3 linked regions of the Drosophila melanogaster genome follow. The protein of the gene in region 1 interacts with the protein of each later gene in a biochemical or structural test. Each region holds a gene or a part of one and is shown in the gene's direction. Other genes may lie near its edges. The genes, in order: Orc4, Cdc6 and Orc2.

Region 1 (7,078 bases):
CGTCCGTTGGATTGGGAGGAGTATGAGTCAACAGAAATAAGGTGATGGTCTCGAAAAGTTCGCATCGATGCGATGCTGATGGGAAAATCGGGTGAACAATGAGAGCCGAGAAAGGCGCACAAAGCTCTCCTCTGGAGAGCCGCATCAAGATATGGAAGCATATACTGGAGTCGGGGTAAGTACTGATCCGGCCATCATTATGGCTTTCGATAGCAATTATCCGCTACCGTTTAATTGCGCGCTTGGCGATTCTGTGGGCTGCTGATGGCTGATTTTTCACACGCACTTGCCGCTGCCCACCTGACGATCCACCTCCCCTTCCCCGCACATTGGGCCGATTGAACCACCACCCACTCTGTGAATGCTGTCATGTGTCTAATGAGTCGCTGGCCCAGTTCGCAAGTTGGCCCAAAGTTAGCGTCCTTTGTGTAATTTGCACACTTGCATGGGCATTTGCATTTCCTATTTTCCCCATTTCACAGTTCACATTTCCACTTGCCACTTTCGCATTTCCATCTACCACGCACTCCGATAGACGGATGGGCTCGCCGGAAACTTTGAGGGTAATTTGCATATGGAACTTTTAAATCATACTGCTCGAAGTTGGCCCACGACACCTGGGCTTACGTCTGCAATCGCAGGAGGAGCAGCTGCGTCGATGGACACATTTATCAAGGAACTCGCAGTGCGGCGTGCCCCGAAATAACTATATTTTCGCAAACAGTATCCCAGATTATATTTCACAATTGTAAATTTATCAATCAGTTATCAGGCGAAGTGACTGTCCTAAACGAAATCCTTAAGATTCGCATGGTATCTATAATTAATTCACTGAGCATAATATTTCCCAGTTTATGGGCGCCATAAAGCAGTTTCCGAGATCCCGAACAAGCGAGGCAAGTCATCTCATGGAGTGGACAGACGCGATCACTTAATTACCTGTGTGAACTTTTCAACTGCGCCCCAGTAGGAGAAGGTACAGTGAGCACTCGCTACGGCGGCGAGGCGGGCGGGGCAAGCAGTTGCAGGTGGGACTGACGTTTTCACCTTGTTAATTATGCGCACGGTCATGCTAAAATCGCGTAATGAGTGACGGCCATTGAGAGTTGCATTGTCAGCAGAGAATGATAGTTTAATCGTGAGGGGTTCTGGCGAGGATTGGGGAGCAGAGCGGGCCGGCTGGTCACAGGGTGTCCTAGCACATGTACAGCTTGGAGGGCTTCATTCGGCCGTACTCCCCGTTCTCGGTGACCGCAACTTTGAGGCCCGTAATGCCGTCTTGCTCCAGCATCTTCAGATCCTCCAAACCTTCCGCAACCTCCTGGGCGGTAACCACGAACTTCTTTGCCAGGCGCCTGCGGTTGGCGTACTTGAGGAAGTGGCCGTCGCCGTACCGCTGGCGACTCGTCAGATAGATCTGGTCAATCCGCTGATAATGGCAGCACTGCATCTTAGGGTACCACGCGAAGGTCTCCTGCCAGTGCCTCGTCGTCCTTTCCATGGCATGACTGAAGGCGAGCTGGTAGCGCAGCTGCTCCGTGGTCACTATGTCCGCCGGCATCTTGTCAGGGGTGTGGGGTTGTGTTTACTTTACTTCGTGTCCTTCTGGTTGTGGAGTGGATTGATATATGTGTCCGAAATGTGTGAAGTTTGTGGCTGGCCCACCTGATTGGCAGCTGAGTTGCCAGTCCCGAGTGCCAATCCCGTTTTCTGTGTGCTCCCTAATCGCATTAGCAGCCACTTGACAGACGACAGGTGCAGTGCATCCAGGTCACTGCCAGCCACCTGTGCAGAAACTCTGCACATAATTGTTAACGCTTACGAACTGGCCTAGTCTGAAACCTATGTACATGTTTAAGTTAACTTTCGTCACTACACTATATTTATTTTCGTAAATCTCAGTAATGTGACAAATACATCACATACAGACCCACTTAGACTTACTATATTTACTATATTGGTCCTGCTGACCCCCATCCAATACTAAAACGGCATAACACCTTACCAATATTTCTGCTTACGGGTTGAAGAGCCTGGATATTACTGGATTTGACTGTTTAGCTCTTGGTAAAGTATAGGATGACATCGGTGCGCGGAATGCCCGCGACCATCCATGTGCTGTTCATCATGTATCTGCCATCGGGGATGATCGACTGGACCAGCTTGTTCAGATGCTGCACGGGAAGCTTGTCGAGCACGATGTCGTGCTGTGGGTGGGTGGGTGAGAAAGGCGAAGGTTATGCGGCATGAACATGGCAACGCTCACTCACGTCGTAGGGGCAGGTGTGGTTCAGGTTCGAGTAGGGGCCGAAGGTCTGGTAGACCCAGTTGGCGATCACGTGCTTGCGGTCGCGCATGAACTTGCAGGAGTCCACCTTGAAATCAAAGTTGTACAGGACTCGCCTGTTCTCGCGCATCCTCAGCTGGAATCTGGTCTGGAAGATGGTCGGGTGGTGTGAGACCGACACAGTTCTATACTCTTACCTCGCAGTTGTCGACGGGCAGGCGGAACATCTTTGTTTTTAGCGAAAGGTACTTGTAGGTGCGGTTCACGGACTTCAAGTAACAGTACTCAAAGTCCATAAACATCCTGTCGCGCACGAGGCAGACTACATTATTGAATTCGAAGTGTCCTCGGATCTTTGGATATCAATTATTCTATAGTGCCATCTATTAGCCATACGCATTCGATTCTTACTGCCATCGGAGACATAAAAATCAGCAGAAAAGTCCACAATCCGCTCATTCCTAAAGAGGTCTGGATCACAATAACCACAATACCGAGTGCCAAAAGCTGAAGCATTCCAAAAGTTATTAATTGTGATTACTCGATCCATTGCTGTTATGAAATTGCCAGCCGATATTAAATAATCTCTGAGAATCCATTGAGTGTTTAATAACTTATTTTAATGGACATTTAAAATACACAGCATTCCAAATAAACCTATTCCAGCAAATTGACCCTCAAAATGCCAACGACTATGCGATTAATAAAGAAATTTGTTCATATTTTTAAAGATGTTTATATGTATAATTGATTGTTATTTATAGAGTTACTATTGTACATATTCCTCAATCGTAGGTCCATTTTGTATGAACTAAAATGTTGATATTTCAAAATGTGCTAAAGCCGCAGAAATTAGATCGTATTGGTTTGTGGCACGAATATATTTTTCAGGCGGCTTAAGGCAACACTGAGTAGTATCAGAGTTCCAAACCACCGTACATTAAATGAACCAATATCGGTTTTGTTCCATCCCCAATGCATTGTTGACGTTTTTTGGCGCGACTTAATTACTGGCAGAAATCCAAACTATCTGTGCGTCCATTTAACTAATAAATAAGGAGGAATAAAGGAGTTCCGATCCGAGAGCGAAAATGCCGGAGGCGGATAGGGAGCTGGTCAGCATCAGGCGCTTCCTGAAGGAGCGCCTCCAGCGAGACTACACCACCTTGAGGGGCTACGCAAAGGAGCGGTCCAATGTGCGCCTATTGCTGCAACGCACAGCTGAAATGGGGGAATCCAACTCCTTGCTGCTCCTTGGGCCGCGGGGATCCGGAAAGACAACGGTATGAGTGCAGGCCTTACCGGGAAACCAATCCAGTAATCTATGCTTTCAAATTCTTTAGCTCATCAACTCCGTGCTGGCCGATTTGCTGCCCAATAAATCGTTCGGGGAAAACACTCTCATCGTCCACCTGGACGGTAATCTGCACACGGACGACCGAGTGGCCCTGAAGTCCATCACTGTGCAGATGCAGCTGGAGAACGCTGCGGATGGGAAAGTGTTCGGATCGTTCGCCGAGAACCTCGCCTTCCTGCTGCAATGCCTCAAGGCGGGTGGCAAGCATTCCAAGAGCGTGATCTTTATTCTCGAGGAGTTCGACCTCTTCTGTGCTCACCACAACCAGACCCTGCTCTACAACCTCTTCGACGTCTCCCAGTCAGCCCAGGCGCCCATCTGTGTACTTGGCGTTACCTGTCGCCTCGACGTGATCGAGCTGCTGGAGAAGCGGGTCAAGTCGCGTTTCTCGCACCGGCAGGTCTTTCTCTTTCCCAGCTTGCGGCGCTTTGAGGATTACGTTGACCTGTGCAGGGATCTACTGTCCCTCCCGACCGGCAATTCACTGTTGCTGGCGGCGGAGAAAATCTATAACCTACAAAACATCCAGTCGGGGGCACTTTACTTCTCCCGCAACCATTTTGACCCCGGGGAGTACGGCTTTTCGCCCAGACTACGCGATGCCTGGAACAAGCAAATATGCAAAGTCCTGGCCACTCAGCAGGCAAGAAGCACCCTCCAAGCGCTCCATGACTTCGACATTAGCGAGGCCTATCTCAAGAACTTCCTATTCCGCCTGGTGGCACATCTCCGACCGCAATCTCCCCACATCACAGCCGAAAAAATGGCTGCAGTGGGATCACAGTTTGAGGGCGACGACAAGATAGAGCTGCTTTGCGGGCTCTCAGTCCTAGAGCTGTGCCTGATCATCGCCATCAAGCACCATTCGCAGATTTACGATCGCGATTCCTTCAACTTCGAGATCATTTACGCGCGCTTTTCCAAGTTTGCCAAAGTGTCCACCACAATGCAGGCCGTGGAGCGGTCCATTGTCCTGAAGGCCTTCGAGCATTTACGCATCGCAGAGCTGATCATGCCGCTCACCGGTGGAGCTGGAGGGGGCGTAGGTAAGGTGCAGAAAGAGTTTGAGATGCATAAGCTGGCGCTGACATACAGCCAGATTCACCACTGTATGCAGCGATACCAGGCCCTTCCCACAGAGGTTGCTCAGTGGGCGCAAAGCTCTCTGATTTAGCAGCAGATCAGAAATACTTTGTATATTTATTTATTTAAAAAAAATTGTACCGAATCATTTAGTTGGTAAAGCCCTGTTTTGGGAAAATAAACTAATTTTAATTTATAAAACGTATATAAGAGAAAAGACAAGCATTTACATACGCAAGTGGTATGTACTATAAAATTTAGTTCTTATACAAATGTAAGTAATGTAATGTGTATGTATGCACTTAATTATGGCCAGGCATTTAGGTCAGGTTAGTTCAGTTTTATCTGCTTTGCACTTTCCGATCGATAATGCTAATTCCTGGAGTCACCCGCATTTCTATTCCACGCAAGATGCGGGTGGATCTCGCTATATAAAGGCCACCAATTGTGGAGCAGGAGTCAGGTGAAGCTTCAGTCGCATCAGCATGAGAATCATAACAGTCCTGTCTGTTTCGCTCTTGGTGGGTCTTGTGGCCATAAGCCAGGCAGACGACAGTAGTCCAGGATTCTTCCTAAAGATCACCAAGAACGTACCGCGGCTGGGCAAGCGAGGCGAGAACTTTGCCATAAAGAACCTAAAGACCATTCCTCGCATAGGACGCAGTGAGCACGTAAGTTATACCCATGGGCTTTCTTAAAGGATATTTTTAAACCATGAACTGTTTTCAGAGCTCTGTTACTCCTCTGCTGGCGTGGCTATGGGATTTGGAAACGAGTCCAAGCAAGCGGCGCTTACCCGCAGGGGAATCCCCAGCGAAGGAGCAGGAACTTAACGTGGTGCAGCCCGTCAACTCGAATACGCTCCTTGAGCTGCTTGACAACAACGCTATTCCCAGCGAGCAGGTGAAGTTCGTCCACTGGAAGGATTTCGATCGTGCCCTCCAGGCAGATGCCGATCTGTACAGCAAGGTTATCCAGCTGGGACGCCGTCCGGACCAGCACCTCAAGCAGACTCTCAGCTTTGGCAGCTTCGTTCCCATCTTCGGCGACGAGCAGAATCCGGACTTTATGATGTACAAAAACAACGAGGATCAGGAACTTTACGGCGGGGGAAATCGCTACGATCGCCAATTCCTCAAGTACAACATCCTGTGAGATGTGGAGTATTCGATTTGAATACGGACAAAGGAATATGACATTATAGAAATACATGTAACTTACCAACACTGCTAGCTAGTGTGTTTCAAATATATCCGGAACCTTGAAAATGGTCCAAGAAAAAATTTAAATATCTTTTCAGTTGAATAATCCCAGAAAACAAATGCCTCTTTTGGTAAGTCCAAAAAACACCTCTAAAAACGATAGTAAACATAATAAATTTCGGCCATATGGAAATGACTCATCCTCTATCGCACGATGGTCTGAATATAACGTAAGTCTTCTCCAAGTCTTCATTAGAATGCTTTCCCATAAGTACGTAAATACAAAACCAAATGGAAAGAGAAAATCGAAATCCGGATTGCAGTTGCTTGGATCAGAGCCTTTCTTTATCGCATTCCCGGATGGAATCGAATGGAATCAGCACATTAACGGTGCTTCTTTGACCAGGTCCACTCCACTGCAATCCGCACCTCAATCTGGCGAGTCAACAACCCAGCTGTCTTCTTTTGGCGGGGATTTGGGGATGTGGGGTGGCTGACTCAACGCAGCGAGCTCGGGCTTATCAAATTTATGGGGTCCGTGATGTTAGGAAATTCCAGCGATCGCATTCTTCTGCTCCCTTTTACCGACTTCTACCTTTTAATTGAATTAAACGATCTGCCCGCGAATTGAATTCCCAAACAGGATGATGGCGCCGTCGCATTCTGGAATTTGATATGTTTATTTTGCTTAATTAGCGGGCTGCTGTTAAGTATGCTGACCAGAATTCGCCACAATCCAGTAATCCCGCGGCTCATCAACAACTTCAATTACAAGCCCGGCTTGATCGGACTCAGACGCGATGACGACGCAAACTTGACTTTGAAATTTTTGCAATGCCTCACTGATGTTCGACTCGGTGCTGGTTGTTATTGTTTTTGGTCTTTTTGATTGTTTACTTTGGTTTTTAATTTCTATTTTCAGTGCAAGCGTAGAACAAGTTTGATAGTGGCTCCAGGGGCTTAGGAAGACAAATGTAAGGGGGGACTGGGAGTCGTGCTTAAGCCTTTTGCCCAAGCGCGACTGAAATATTTTGCTGTCGTGTATAATCGGCTCGAAGGACTCTCAGATACAATCTGTATGAGAATCTATAGTCTATGAAACTACACTACCTAACACAGAATATTTAAACATTCCCACACATTGAGGTT
Region 2 (8,246 bases), on another chromosome or scaffold:
CTTCCTGTGGCGAGGATTGGCCATAGTTGCTGTAGCCGCCCTCTTCTTGAATGGCTCTGTAGGTTTCGCTGTTCCTGGGATCGTACTGGACAGTTTTCTTATAGCTGCTCGTTGGCAGTGGTCAGTGATTCGGGTTCCGATTGAGATTAAGTTTCAGTAATTCGGGGGTTTGCATTGAGATCGTTGAAAGCGCCGTTATTTTGGTCAATTATTCGTTGGATTTTTTGTTTTGGTGTTACGCAAGTTTTAAAAGATTTATTTATTTTAATTTGTTTTATTGTTGTTGGTTAATCGAGATTTATAAAAAATATGTTGGTTTTTTTGTTTTTGATTTTTTTTTACATCGGTTGAGTAGCGTGAGACAGAGTAGTGAGAGAATAGAAAGAGAAAACAGGATGTGCACAAAATACGTTAGAATTATTTTGTTTTTGTTGTAGTTGTTGTTGGTTGTTGCTGTTGTTGTTGGGCAATAGGTGTGCTTTGTTGTCTTGGAACTGCACACTCCTCAAACGGATTGCGATTAATAGGAAACTCATAAACAAATTCCTTACAATCTAGTTATTATTATTATTAAGAGTAATCAAACAGAACTGCATAACAAGGTGCGAGATTATATTGAGATTATCATGTATGTATATCATCGGATGAGTCGAAGCCTTGAGATCGGGCGGGATTAGGGTGGTTAGTTAGTCTCGTTCGGTTAATACTGGATGGGTTGCGATAGCGATGGGGATCAAGAATAGGAACTTTCAGTGCTGTCTTTCAAACAGTTCGTAAATATAATTCAGCAAACGTCTTTTAGTTTCGGATTAGTCTTTTGGGGTGGTGGGTCGGAAAGAAGTGTGGACGGGAAGGACTTTTAGCAGGGGTCTTGGGAAAGGGTATTTGGCTCATAGTCTATTAGAAGTGGGTTCAGTTTTTGGCTACTATTTGATTGATCATTTGTTTTGTTGATAGAGTATTTGCAGTTGATGCTGGCGTTGTTGACGTTGTTGCTCTGCCAGTTGGTCTTTTTGCTTTTGTTGCTCCAGAATAATACGTTTTTGTTCCAGGAAAGATAGATCGATGAAAATTCTAACATTAATCGTGCAGCTATGTTCTAAGCATATCAGAAACTAAGAGCTAGAGTGGTAGAGTGGTCTAGGGTTCGTTTATTTGTTGAACTTGGTTAATCTATGGAAACAGCACCTGATCTACCCACTGAAAACTCTTACCGATGCACCTACGCCACTTTTGCCATACCTTAAACTTACATATGTCCTAAAAACCAAAACTGAAAAGCCTCAAGACAAACAACGTTCGCTGGGGGTTTCGGTGAAGATCATTTCCAGAAATACACATATTTACATAGCATGATTTCCTAAGCGCAGACTCAGATCATTTGAGCTTTTCTTTGCAATAGGACGTTTTTAGGAAGAAGAAAAAAAAGGAACACACATATTCGTAGACAGCAGAGCACATGCATTCGGGTTTTTGGACTCGTGTCGTGTTGTTTCTGTTGTTCTGACATAGATATTGTATCTGGTTCTTAGAAACTACATATATAGTTCAGTTGTTCAGGTTGCGGGAGACAACAATAATCGAGGGTTAGTCTGTACAGACAGGCAGGGGAAAACACGGGAAACTTGGCAAACATTCCTCATATTCAATTTAATTTGTCTCAAGGCAAGTTCAGGTACAATTCCACGTTCTTGCTCATTGTGCTTTCCATATCAAAGTGAAAGTGAAAGTGAAAGGATTCAATCAAAGAACGAAATCAGGCTGTGCTCAAGATATGAATTTACTTTTACCCGTTAAGTTTTGTTGGCAAAGGACGATGCAAAGGACTGTCCTTCAAGCGATTGCTTTCGCTTGTGGCGAAGCTACAACAATATACATAGAATATATATAGGATATATAGAGAGTGGTATATTTATATATGTAAATGTATATAAATGCATGTAAAACAGAGATCCGGCAGTAGGCAGTAGTAAGTAGTACGTACAACATCTATGGACTGGTTTTCGTGTTCAATCGTATGTTCGAATTGTGTGTGTTTCTCATTTCGTGTGTGCATCGGTTTAGTAAATTTCGTTTCGACTTTGATTTTGTGGCTTTTGGGTTAGTGGATTATGGCCGCAGCTTAACCAGGAACCAATTTTTCGGGTTATGTGGACCTTAGGCTACTCGTAACCGTGTGTTCGTGACTCGTTTTATTAGTTTTCAAGCTACTTGGCGCATTTCGAGTGGCTCTCTCTGTCTCTCTGGCAAAAAGAAAAGCTGCATCAAAAATTTCGAAGAACTCTACGCAGGTTTATTCGTAAATTGCAAAATCCAAAGAATATGTAGCGTAATTCATAGGCTTATAAGTTCAATTTGACAAGCGAATTCCAAAAGTTCATATATTAGTGTTTTTTTTTTTTCATTGTATCGAGCTAAGCATAGGAGTTTCCAGATGGTACATTTCTGGGTGACAACTTACGGAACTGTGGATCTGATGGTGTCCTCGATGTTGTTGTTGGAGTACAGGCCAATGGGCGAGTTGAATTGCTTGTGGAAGACCTAAAATCGGGGGATATATGTACACAAATGTAAGTAAAACCCATTACAACTTACACTTAAATTAAATACAATCAATTTCGTAACAGGATTAGAACAAAGACTACAGGTCACGAATTCGAAATGTTAACATTGAAAATATCAATTTTAAATGTAGAAAACTCTAGTTTTTGTAATTTTCCATTATGTGGGTGTGACTTTAAGAAGTCCCCTGTACTTACGCGGCCAGTGTCGGCTTCCGAACCGACCACCTTGTGCAGCATGGTGTCGGCCACGCGCTGCTTCATGATACTGTCATGGTAGTCGTGTCCTGGGTGGGCGCGCACAGCCGGGTTGGGGTAGTGCCTCAAGTAGGACTCTGTCGTGGGCGCATCCTTCTTCACTTTGGCGCCGGGCAGGACCAGCGGAGTTGTACGGTAGGGCTGGAAAGCGGATCGGTGAAGATTAACGACTTTGTTTACGCCGAAATGGGGCACACATTTGGCCGACCAGCCGTTGCGGCAAATGATAATATAAATAAATCAGACAGAGATTAAAAGAGTTTCTAGAAATCACCAGATCTTTGCCCACTGTGCTACGTATTTCTCCTTCGAGCGTGTGTGTGCATAATTTTTTTCGCTATATCTAAATTCCATTTTATGTGCGCCCGTTTATATACTTTAAAAATATCCCATAGCCAGGGGAAATATTTTTAGGCGCTTACGTAAGCGTGTTCAACGTCCAGCGATTTGTGTTTTCTATCTGCCGCGGACCATTTTATTTTTACCAGGCCGTCCACACGCGAGTATGTAAGTAATTCAATATAGGCGGACTGCTGTTTGAAATGTTGTAACTATGCGCGCCTAATCGATAGGCGATCGACAATAGGCAGCTCTGGGCTAGAGCTGCCAGATGACCAGACCAGGCTTGATCAGCTGTTGCTCGTGGCGAATGGCAAACTCAATTTGCGCGCTTTTTTAACTGTGACTGCCAGCTGAAAATTGTAACGCACGCTGTGGCTTATTTAACTCGTATTTAATAGTAACTAACTGCTGATCAATAAACTAAGCTAAAGAATGGCTGCCGTACGCCGCTCCACGCGCCTTAGTAGCATCAGCAAAGCGACCGCCGCCTCTCCGCTGCCGCCGTCGACGCAGACGCCGCGTCGCTCGGAAGTTTGGAAACGCAGGCAGCCGAAAAAAGTGCTTGCCGATAGCGACGAGGAGGAGGAGGTGGTGACGGCGATCTATGACCTGACCAGCCCCGTTTCAGAGAACAACGAGAACCGCAACGTGCTCAACAAAATGGACAAGATCTCCAGGCGCAGGACATCGCAAGTGCAGGTGGCTCAATCGGAGCTGCCAAAGACGCCACGCAGCACAAAGAAAACAGTCCAATCAGCTGGCAGTTCACGGGCCAAACGTGAGGAGGAAAACCGTGAGGCCACCGCTAGATTCTTGGAGGGCGAACAGGATTCGGAGGTGGACCCGCTTCATGGATCGCCGCCGAAGCAGAGGAAGTTGCAGCCACTGCCACAGCACCTGATCAGTCCTTCGCGGCTGCTGGACAGACTCAGCATCGACGAGCGCCAGGAGGAAGAGGTGGAGGCGACCACACACAAGACTGAAACGGCTGAGCAGCAGCCGAAACATCAAGCCAAGGACGAGGCAAAGCCTCGGCCAAAACAGCAGGAGGATCCATTAGCGCAAAAGCAGCAGGAGAAACCTCCAACAAAGCAGCCGAATAAAAACCAAACTAAAGAAAAAAGCAATATCCAAACCAATGAGGAAACCCAACAGAATAACCTGCCATCTCCCTCACGCAACAAATACCAAAACGCCAGACGAGTGCTCAACAGCGCCGAGACACAAAACTTGCCAGGACGTGAGTCCCAGCTCCAAGAGCTACGTGAATTCTTCAGCAATCACCTGGAAAGCCAGACTTCCGGCAGCCTCTATGTCTCCGGTCAGCCAGGAACAGGCAAGACCGCCTGCCTATCGCTACTGCTGAGAGATCCCGACTTCTCCAAGCGTCTGCAACGTGTGTACATTAACTGCACCAGCATAGCAAGTGTAGGAGCAGTTTACAAGAAACTATGCACCGAACTGCAGCTCAAAGTCAGCGGTCGCACAGAGAGAGATCACTTGGAGGCCATTCAGCGTCACCTAAAGACAGCAAAGCGAATGCTTCTGCTGGTGCTGGACGAGATTGATCAGCTCTGCACCAGCAGGCAGGAGGTGTTGTACACGATCTTCGAGTGGCCAGCTCTTCCCGGCTCCAGGATACTGCTCGTGGGCATTGCCAATAGTTTGGATCTCACAGATCGTGCGCTGATGCGACTGAATGCAAGGTGCGAGCTGAAGCCCAGACTGATGCACTTCCCGCCCTACTCCAAGCAGCAGATCGTGGAGATATTCAAGTCGCGTCTGGCTGAGGCGGAAGTGCTGGACGTCTTTCCACCCGTGACCCTGCAGCTGCTGGCCGCCAAGGTGAGTGCGATCAGTGGAGATGTGCGAAGGGCCCTGGACATTGGACGACGAGTGGTCGAGATAGCAGAGCAGCAGAAGCGCGATGGCGAAAAGGAGTTCAATATGAAGGCCCTGCAGCTGGAGGGCAAGGATGCGGTGGAGGCCAAGGAAAAGCAAGGTAAACCTTCGTTTCTTTAGTATATAAAGATAAATTTATAGAATGTGTTAAAAAGAAATCCTATCTTGACTATTTCAGACACTCTAAAGCCTGTTCAGGTCACCCAAGTGGCTGCAGTGCTGAACAAGGTCTACGGTGCCTCACAGAATCTGGAGGAGGACATCGAGGCATCATTTCCGCTGCAGCAAAAGCTAATGCTGTGCACCCTGGTGCTGATGCTGCGCAACGAGCGCAACAAAGACATCAGTATGGGTCGCCTGCACGAGGTCTACAGGAGAGTGTGCGCCAAACGCAACATCCTGGCCCTGGACCAAGCGGAGTTCACTGGGACTGTGGATCTGGTCGAGACCCGAGGCATTCTGCGAATCATGCGCAAAAAGGAGCCGCGCCTGCACAAGGTTCTGCTGCAGTGGGACGAGGAGGAGGTGCATGCGGCACTGAGCGACAAGCAGCTGATCGCCTCGATCCTCAGCGATACCGCCTGCCTGAGCAAGTGACGATCTGGACGATTACCTCTAGGAAATGAGTGTGCCCGACAAACCGCTGGTTAATTGCGCATTTTTCTCATTTTCATTCACCTTGGGGACGAACGTATATGTATAGGAATACTTTTTGACGCTAATTTTAAAATTCGTGGCTGGCGCAAGCACTGAAATATTTTGAAATATCATTTGACGGTCACTTTCGACATTTTCTGCTATTTTCTGACTATTAATTGAATCGATTCTTTTAGACTTTGTGTGTGTCATAAATCTAAGTAAATGTTGCGCCCATAATCTATTTCTAATCCGATCCGTTGACCAATAAGTTATAGAGAATCCCCTTCCTGTTAGCCCTAAGCAAATAAGAATAAACTAGATAGTTCCGCAATACATAAAACGCAAAAGTGAAAACGTTTTCCACTTTCGCTGCGCCGCAAGTTTGAATCTTGGGTCGTGCCAAAAGTTGTGAAAATCTTAGGGAAAGTCTGTTGCCATTGTTTTCTGAGGCGTTTTCAGAACATACCAGTCAAATTAACACCAGTGCTTCTGAATTTGTGTGGGCTTTTGTTGGCCATCTCGACATGAAATTAATTTGTTCTATAATCATTTTGTTTATTTATTTGCTGGCTTATTGTTGTTCTTCCTGCGCTCTCTGCTCTAAAAATATCCCCATTTGAGTGGTATGAATTACATTGAGCACCACCGACACAACCAGAGCGCAATGAAAAATATGTTTCAAAAACTCTGGTTGCCTTTCGACGCGTATTGACGAAAGGCGAACAAATGTTTGAATAATAAGCTATATGCAGAGAGGCCAGCTAGATATATGCATGAATGTATCTATAGGTATATGGCGTTCTATATTCCTATTCCTCAAAAATACATATATTTCTGAGGGAGCAGTAAGGCGAAAAACCTCGAAAAACATACAGGTCTGTTGGCGCTGCCATTTGCATTTGAACTTGAATTCCAAGATCAAACGGTTGACGGTAAAGGTGAAATGTTTCATCTGGATTGGGCCACGTTCTTAGAAATTTGAAATATTTAAAAGTAATTCAAAATTAATTAAATATCAGCATGATTTGCTTTACTTTCTATCTCTAATGGGGTTAAACCAGTATCCTTTATAAAACCAATAGTTAAATCTTCATTTAAGATTATGTGCATATATCAAAACACACTTTTCGCGTTCCTCAGGCTTCTCTTTAAATATTTTTCTATATGTGGCTTAATTCGAGTTAATTGTTCACTGGCTCGCTTACTTGGTATTGAATGCACTCATTGAGGTCTGGCTGCTCCTTGTAGTAGACTGGGGATCCGTTTTTGAACTGAACGTACTCCATTTTTGCAATGTGTGTGTTTTGTGTTTGAATTTAAACTCCTTCAATTCGAACAAAATAGAAACGAAAGATATTATAGCCAGATGCAATTACGTAATGGAAGATCACGCAGTGTTTTTAATTTTTGTTTGGTAAATTTTTTTTTTTTTTTGAATTTTGTAATATATTATTGGCAACTTGCTTCTTCGTCACGTTTAAATCAACGCTGCAGCTGGTGAGATCGGAGATCTTTACACTAGGATTCACTACAAAAAGGATGCTCGAGCTCGAGTCTTATTGTTGTTTATTTTTCAATATTCCGAACGCAACTGATTCGAAAATTTTCAAATGCTGGCGAATTATTGCTATTCCGACTGCGCGGAATTCCAATTTGTCTATATAGCCAACTCGGTATTGGTTGGAGAGTGTCTATCTGCCTGTCTGTCTGTGTGAGCCACCATATAGAAAACCGAGTGCTGACGGTCAGAGGCCGTTCGTTCGACCCACGCACTCATACCAATCCACTAGAAAATCCTATATATTCGAGAGAGAGAGCAGATTTTCCTAAATATACAAAATATGTTTTTGTGCAAATAGCCTGTTCACCGAGCGTAAACGCGGGCAACAACAATACACCATCGTATAAACTTGGACTTGGTGTGATCTATATTTTTGTTTTTTTTTTCCTCGGTTCCCGCCCACGCGCCACCTTAAACACCGCCCCCATTTCCTCCCCTTACCAAACGGATGTTGTTGTTTGTCCTGCCGCCTCAGTCGAGAATTATTCACATTATTCACATATAACAAATCTCGCGTATATGTTTTAATTGCTGCTTTTGTGGAGCAATTTCACATAGCACTTTTTTCGTATTTCGAAAATTAGGCACAAATATTTATCGCACTCGAGGTTATTGTTTCGCCCCACTGCAGCAACATAAATGTGAATATAAAAATATTTCGCAAATCTGCTGTTAAATTATTGATTTGCTCAGTTTGCTTTCGCCAAATTGCCAAATTGCACTGTCACTTAGCATTTCCAAATCGCAGATTTGTCAACCAATTCTGACAGTTCCAAAGATACCGATCCCAGTTCGTAAATCTCAAAACCATATTGGCATTGGCATGCTGAGTTTTCTTGGCTGTCATAAGCAATTGGCATTGGAACAGGGCATTGGGCATATCATTTGATGTTGATTTTGACTGATCCAAAAACACACGAGCAGGTGTAATTGGCCTTGAAAGGCGTTGGAAAAGTCTCAAGTTCGATGGAGAAACCAAGGAA
Region 3 (7,705 bases), on another chromosome or scaffold:
TTAACTCCGCATAAGAATCGAATCTTACGCACAAGAAACTGCTCCAGAGCCGCAAAATTCTTTGATTTGTCGAAGCCTGCAACGAAGTGTTTATTAATGGTGATCCGGGCAAAAATTGAATGCGATTATGCGCATACCATTTATATAGCACTTTGTGACATTGACGGCAATTAGCAAATCCTGTGAAATCGGTTTCACGTGTCTCACGGCCACATATTCCGTATTTCCAAAATCGCAGAATAGAATTTTGACCATATTGTCCTTAACCTCCTGGCAGACTCCGCGATACCAGTTCTTATCTTCGCTGTAGATCGCCAGGCACAGTTCACCAACGCTGCAATTGGGATAAAGTGCGTGTTAAGAAAAGGACAAGCAAATATCGAAAGCGCATTACTTTGGTACGTAACCCGGAACAACATTGTGGTCACATGCTCCCTGACTTGATGTCAAGCTAAGGATTTTTTCAAATTCCTTGGCCGCCTTTTCGTCCTTGAAGTAGGCGGCGGTGATGTAGCCAGTTTGCGGCAATCCGTCAGCGTTCATAAGGATTAGGTTGACCTTGTCGCCTAAAGGAGCTAGATTCTTGGGCAAAGCGTCGAAAAGGAAGCGTTTAATGGGCAGAACGTGGGAAGCTGACTTTGTACTTGTCACGTCGGCAGGAAAAGGCGACTCCGGTGGAGAGGGCGGCAGTGGAGGCAGATCCAGCAGAAGTAGAGACTGTGGAGACACCTTCTGCTGTTTGTGAGTTACAACAGGCAATTGACTCGGAGTAGAAGCAGCCTTCGGTGGTGCAACTTCTGCTTTTTCCTGTACCGGTGTAAATATAAGAGGCAACATTTGGGTCGTCAAGGAGCGCGAATCGCCGGAGCTGAACAGCAGGTCCACGGTCGATGTAGTTGCATCTACCATGTTCAATTTTAGCAGTTCTTTTTGGGCGCAGAGCTTGTGCAGCATTTGAATGGCCGCATTGTTAACTGGCACAGCTGCATCCGGAATATTGCAGACATTCTGCAACTGTACACGCATCAGACATACGGGCAAATTCTCCAGGAAGCGACAGGAGCTGCGTATTTCCGCCAACTCCACCTTTTGGGTGGCACCAGTATCAACGTTCATTACTTCGAACAATCCACTATCCTTACTCAATATCTGTAAAATTCGAAAAGTTCATAGACTTTACTGATTGAAACCCTGCAACATAAATATCGACAAACCTCGCCCCGGAAGTGACCCATCTGCTTGGAGACAACGAGCACGATGCTGCCAACGGAAACATCACTAGATTTGGTAATGGTAGCGCACTTGTACTCCAGGCGCTTGAAAATTTCCGCATACTGCTTGGCGTCTGGAGTGCTGATGTATACCTCCTTAAAGCTGACCAAGTGGGAAATGAATACGATGGAATCATGGACGATGGGTTCACGCCAGTACTTGTGGCCTAAATATGAAATCTGACCCAAGAAAGTGATCAGACGGGCCATACATATCTGCTCGCCCTTGGAATTCAAGGCGGCATTCGCCGCGCGTAACTTTTCCTTGGGCGGCTTATTATCCAGCTTAAACTTGACCGTGAGTTCTGCACCTTGAGTCTCAAGCTCCTCGGGTACGGAGTCCTCCAGCTGAGCGGCAAACACTCGACTGGGCAGGCCAAGTAGTTCGCTGGGAATACGACTCAGATCGGTGGCTATGGACACTCTACCCTCGTCCATTTCGTAAACCAAATAGGTTGGCCTCGGTTTCATGATATGATCCAATAGGAAAGCTCGCCGATAACCATTTTTAGTGCGGGTGGCCGCAAAGAAGATGGATTTCTGCTCGGGGAAGGGCAGCGTGAATGGCTGTCTTGGCTTCTCGGCTATGCGGTTGTTTAAGTCTGCGTTGACATGGCCCATCACGTTGATCTGGAGTAGGGCCAGCTGCGGTTCGTTATGCTTTGGATTTGCCTTAAAGACCCGGATGACTTTGACTTCTGGATTAAGCTGCAGCATCTCCAAGGGCAAACTTAGTGGTATTATCATCTTGGGCTTTAGATGGACGTGATAAGCTCCGTCGCTGGTTTTGGTTCCCAACATACGGAGCGTCAAGTTCTTAATGTCCTGAACTCCAGTGTTCGTGGGCAATTGAACACGGAAAGCGAACGCCTTGCTTTCGGCCATCTTGGGCACAATGGTGTAGATATCCCGAAACGGTGTAGCTACTATCTGACCGTGGTCAATCATACGGACATTGGCTTCTTGCTTCTTTTGGCAAACCGTCAAAACATGACCGCGATGGACCTTGTCGCCCACACTGATGGCCACGAGGGTGTCCTCCCGCACTCCTTCCATACGAATCATCTTCTTATTCTGCATGCAGCGCTGCATGTTGACCGTCATTCGCTCAATGGCCTCCACATTCGCCACGTGCACCACCCAAATGGGTCCATCGTTCTCCATGAAAGTCACGCGGCACTTGAAAAACTCCATGCCCGACGGCAGCAAATGTTTGCGCCAGTTTTCCGATAGATCCGGCTTGTTCGGCACAGCAACTGTGGGCTCCACACATGGGATTGGCGATTTAGTGCGAGTTTTAGCCAGAGCAACTTGGTTCTCTACGCTCTGGATTGGATTCAACGCCGGTTGAAGAGGCCGGCACTCCACCAAGGGTCTGGAAACGCATTTGTATTGTATAAGAATTAAAAACCCCTAACTTAATGCACTGCTGCGCAACGGATTTACTAATTTAACTCACGGCATAATGATGCACACCTGCCTGTGCCTCTGCCAATCCAATTTCTGGCACTTTTCATTGCAGTACGGTTCTCCACACCGCTGGCACATCAATCTGGTCGGAGTGCCACAGACGACGCATGTCTTTTCCTCCGACTTTTCCATTTCTTCAATTCAAAGTAACAACGCAAGAACGTGTGAATGAAAGAACGGCGCGTTAAAGGAAACGCAGCAAAATGGCGCTAACAGAACTTTTAGCACGCGATGAAATACAAAGTGAAAATCTATTTACGCTGGACGAGAACTTTCTATGTTTTCGTTTTGAAAAAGGTGGAATCCTTTAGAATTTAAGTGCGCGATTCACAACTCACAAACATGCGATACGTTCACTAAACGCGTTTAAATTCGAAGCTCGCTGGGCACGCGCTTCAGTGCATTGAACGAACGTGGGAAGAAAGAGAACAGGACGATATCGATATCGGTTGGTTTTCGATTTACAGCGCACTGATGGAAGTAAACTTGATCGTTAATTAAAAAAGGAAAAATAAGGCTTACGAAGTTTTTAAACTTTAATTAAAACGACACAACATATGCTAAATATTCTACATATTCCAGTTACAATCAATTTCGCCAAGCCATTTTCATGGAAGTTGAATACTCTTTGAACCTGTTTGAATATATCTGAAAACGCAAATCTACTTTGTGTTATTATTTTGCCAATATAGGCAATATTATTTGAAAATTAACCGCAAGTCCATTGACGACCGCAATTCAGAATAAGAACGTAGCGTAATTTTCCCATCTTCAAATATTGTTTTTCCTAAACTTACCGATTTTAACACTTTTTAGTTTTAAAAACGTTTGTGGTTAATCCGCAAGGAATTTGTGACAGTGAAAAAATAACCGCTTTGTACGCGCACGTGTTGCCAACAAACACTTCAGCTTTTGTCAGTGACTGGATTCTAATTTAAATTTATCGATAACGTATGCAATTCTTATTCGAACAATATAGTTATTTCTAAAAACTGTGTCACGGAATTTCTTTTTGTAATTATTACCTATATAAATATATATTTATACAAATATTTATAACATTTGTGTTTTAATTGTCATGCCCCTTTAGTTTTTTTTACGCTAGAAACTTAGCTACTTCCTAGGTCGAGAGCTGGCCACACTCTTGGCATGTCTTAGTTATCGATAATTCCCGCCACTTCTGAGCATTGAGTATATTTTGCGAACTATTTGTTTACCAATTGAATATTTTGATAATCAGGGCCCCCAGTGAAGTGGCAAGCGTCATGAGTGCCAGCAACAAAGGCGGTTACAAGACGCCGCGGAAGGAGAACCTCATGTCCATTGAGAACCTCACCAATTCGGAGGAGGAATCCGAGGACTTGAACACGGCAATGGTTGGGAATGCAGTGGAATCTCAGCCCAAGGTCACCAGTCGGCGTTCCACCCGACGTCCAAGTCCCACCAAGAAATACCAGGCGTACCAGAAGGAAAGCAATGGAAAAGGCCAGGAAGAGCGAATTGTTGTGAACTATGTGGAAATGTCCGATGAACGGAGCAGCGATGCGGAGGATCAGGAAGAAGAAGAAAGCATCGAGGAGTCGGAAAATGCTGCCCGTCCCGCTGCCAAGGATCTGCATCTCATCCAATCCGAGTACAATGTGGCCGGCACCAGCATGTTTGGCTTCAATACGCCCAAGAAACGCGATGCCATGGCACTGGCCGCCCTAAATGCCACGCCCTGCACGCCCAAGACCCCAAAAACGCCGCGTTTGGGTGTCAAGACGCCGGATACGAAGCGCAAGAAGTCCATGGATCAGCCAAAGACTCCCGCCCATGTGCGCACCCGCGTCAAGAAGCGTGGGTAGCCTTTTTCTGCGTCCTTTTACCATTTTTTCCATTATTTATAAATTCATTATCACTTTCAGAGATTGCCAAAATAGTGGCCGACTCAGATGAGGATTTTTCTGGAGATGAAAGCGATTTCCGGCCCAGTGACGAGGAATCCTCCTCCAGCAGCAGTAGCAGCGATGCTGGCAACTCCTCTGACAACGACGCCGCCGATGATGAGCCCAAAACGCCCAGTAGAGCCCGCCGTGCCATTGTAGTCCCCGTTCTGCCGAAAACTCCATCGGCAGCCCGCCTGCGACAATCGGCGAGGGCGAAAAAATCGAATGAGTTTGTGCCCGAGAGCGATGGTTACTTTCACTCGCATGCCAGCAGCAAGATCCTCACTTCGGATCACACCTTGGATCGCCTAAAGAATCCTCGCCTGGCCGCCGATCGTGTTTTCAGTTTGCTGTCGGAAATCAAGACATCGGCGGAGCATGAGGGTTCTATTAATGCCATTATGGAGGAGTATCGATCGTACTTTCCCAAGTGGATGTGTATTCTGAACGAAGGCTTCAATATACTTCTATATGGATTGGGCTCCAAGCACCAGCTGCTGCAGTCATTCCATCGGGAAGTTTTGCATAAGCAAACGGTATTGGTGGTGAATGGCTTCTTTCCCAGTCTGACCATCAAGGATATGCTGGATAGCATCACAAGCGACATATTAGATGCGGGCATTAGTCCGGCTAATCCACATGAAGCAGTGGATATGATCGAGGAGGAGTTCGCACTGATACCGGAAACACATTTGTTCTTAATCGTCCATAATCTGGATGGAGCCATGCTTCGCAATGTGAAGGCACAGGCGATTCTTTCGCGCCTGGCGCGCATACCGAACATTCATCTACTGGCCTCCATTGATCACATAAATACCCCACTGTGTGAGTGCACCGATGCTTTGAGATCTTTATAGTGCGACAGCAAAACTAATTATTGTTTACGAATTTGCAGTGTGGGACCAGGGAAAGCTGTGCAGCTTCAACTTCTCGTGGTGGGACTGCACAACAATGCTGCCATATACGAACGAAACTGCGTTCGAGAACTCGCTGCTGGTGCAGAATTCCGGCGAATTGGCCCTCTCCTCGATGCGCAGTGTCTTCTCATCGCTAACGACCAATTCGCGTGGCATTTACATGCTGATTGTTAAGTATCAATTGAAGAACAAGGGCAATGCCACATACCAGGGCATGCCGTTCAGGGATCTCTATTCGAGTTGTCGCGAAGCATTTTTGGTCAGCTCAGATCTGGCACTGCGTGCCCAGCTCACCGAGTTCCTCGACCACAAGCTGGTCAAATCGAAACGGAGCGTTGATGGCTCCGAACAGCTAACCATTCCCATTGATGGCGCACTGCTGCAGCAGTTTCTCGAGGAGCAGGAGAAGAAATAGGCCATCGGCGTAATTTTAGAACATATTAATTTATTATCTAATATTGTTAAATACAATTACAATTTCGCTTTTTAAAAATGTTGTGTTGCTGTCACTTGTATTGCCCATGATGAGTGCGCAGTGTTTGTTTTCGCTCTTTTTTATTTTTTTGTCAATTTCTACACATTAAGATTGGCATGCATAAAATTTGTCGCTTTGCTCGAAGATACACATTCTAGGATGGCTAGTTTTTTTCCTCAGCTCCAGTTGCGAGCATATAGCAACACAAAACTTCACAAAGCACTGCAAGTGCTCGACGACTGCGGGGATGAGAGCGCATTTGGATACGATTTTAAGGATCAGAAGAGGCGAACTAAACATAGCTAAGCATGCCAAAAATGATAAGACTCACTACCGCCTGACCATTCCGTGCTCCTCATCCATTCCAAAGGCTAATATCGGTTACCTATTCACTATACAGACACGCACATACACAGATTAAAGCGTTGGACTTGTAACTAGTTAATTGTGCACTCGAAACGAAATGTAATTGCTGCGACTAAGGCTAGTTTATTTACACTTTCTTGATAGCAAATCACATGCGAAGTCAATCGGAAGTACACATACAATGGGGAATCGTTCATGGCTGGCTCCTATTAATATTATTTTGAGTTTATTGCAAAATTCTACCCCTTCCTGAATACCTGAATTGTACACACCGAGTTTGCGATCAGCATTTTTGCATATAAAAATGTCTTATCTCCTGCGCCGCACATTTACTTTTTCTTTAATAGTTAGATAATTGTTATCACGTTTACTTTGCTCGTCCTTTTTTTTAAGCTTCGTTTGTGGGAATGAATGGCAGAATGTGGTTCTGAATCAATCAGAAGAGAAACCACCCAAGAGAATCTCCCCTTTTACAAAATGAATCGATGCAAGAGTGTTGTTGGTTTTTCACTTTTATCGGCTTATTATACACAAATTGCTACTGCTTGCGTTTATTTCGACAATGCTTTGTTTGTTTGTTTTTATAGTTTTGTACAACAAATTAATTACATTTTGCGCTTAACAAAGAGAAACAGGCGTCTGATATTGAAATTTAGATACTTTTAGATACTTAAGAAAAGACGAGGGGAATCGAAAAACAAAAGTTCAGGCATGAATTCAGCGATGAAAAGTAAATTAAAGTTTAGAACTCGGGTAAACAATAAATTTTTACATTCTCCTCAATTTCATGGGGGAGTTCTTCGATTTTGGTGGGTGGTGGGTGCAATTAAACCTTGAATCTGAAAATTTTTTCCGAGTTTACATATACACAATATATAAATCAACTTCATTATCATATCCGTATCATTACTCATTTACTCGTTACTCATTAGTCATACTCATCGAATATACATCACAATCAAAGTGTACGCTTTGTAATTATACGCAGTAATCGGTAATTATAATAGTAATAATAGTAATCATAATAATAATAATAATAATAGTTACGCTTTCTCAGTGAATTTCTTTATTTCTGCTTGTATTTATGCCTTCGATTTTTACTTTTAGTTTTTACTTTACTTTAAATTTAATTTATTTTACTTTCCGTTTTGTTTTTTATGCTCTTTTTTTGTTTGCATTATTTTTTAGGTTTTTTTGTTTTTGTTGTTGTTGTTTCTTCTTTAATTGCTGCTTTTGTTTCAAGTTGTGTTTTGACTTAAGATTAAAATTAATTCATAA

The links.
Region 2: the proteins of Orc4 (region 1) and Cdc6 form a complex in vitro, tested with the Drosophila melanogaster proteins (one study listed by BioGRID).
Region 3: the proteins of Orc4 (region 1) and Orc2 form a complex in vitro, tested with the Drosophila melanogaster proteins (3 studies listed by BioGRID, with this or other methods).

Annotation. Positions count from the first base shown.
Region 1 is NT_033778.4:24,793,593-24,800,670, reverse strand, and holds Orc4 (origin recognition complex subunit 4), read left to right. Parts: upstream 1-3,256; 5' UTR 3,257-3,378; coding exon 3,379-3,570; intron 3,571-3,630; coding exon 3,631-4,818; 3' UTR 4,819-4,931; downstream 4,932-7,078. Other genes in the region: CG3611 (uncharacterized protein), read right to left, coding at 1,196-1,561; CG12849 (uncharacterized protein), read right to left, coding at 2,058-2,207, 2,271-2,435, 2,485-2,640, 2,699-2,746; ETH (ecdysis triggering hormone), read left to right, coding at 5,213-5,398, 5,457-5,882.
Region 2 is NT_037436.4:8,629,297-8,637,542, reverse strand, and holds Cdc6 (cell division cycle 6), read left to right. Parts: upstream 1-3,473; 5' UTR 3,474-3,593; coding exon 3,594-5,163; intron 5,164-5,241; coding exon 5,242-5,660; 3' UTR 5,661-6,034; downstream 6,035-8,246. Other genes in the region: Zasp66 (Z band alternatively spliced PDZ-motif protein 66), read right to left, coding at 1-104, 1,791-1,862, 2,462-2,541, 2,760-2,960.
Region 3 is NT_033777.3:13,961,002-13,968,706, forward strand, and holds Orc2 (origin recognition complex subunit 2), read left to right. Parts: upstream 1-3,883; 5' UTR 3,884-3,932; intron 3,933-3,990; 5' UTR 3,991-4,006; coding exon 4,007-4,580; intron 4,581-4,648; coding exon 4,649-5,494; intron 5,495-5,564; coding exon 5,565-6,001; 3' UTR 6,002-6,074; downstream 6,075-7,705. Other genes in the region: Kots (kotsubu), read right to left, coding at 1-76, 138-334, 395-1,149, 1,215-2,646, 2,731-2,873. UniProt on the Drosophila melanogaster protein: Component of the origin recognition complex (ORC) that binds origins of replication. DNA-binding is ATP-dependent, however specific DNA sequences that define origins of replication have not been identified so far.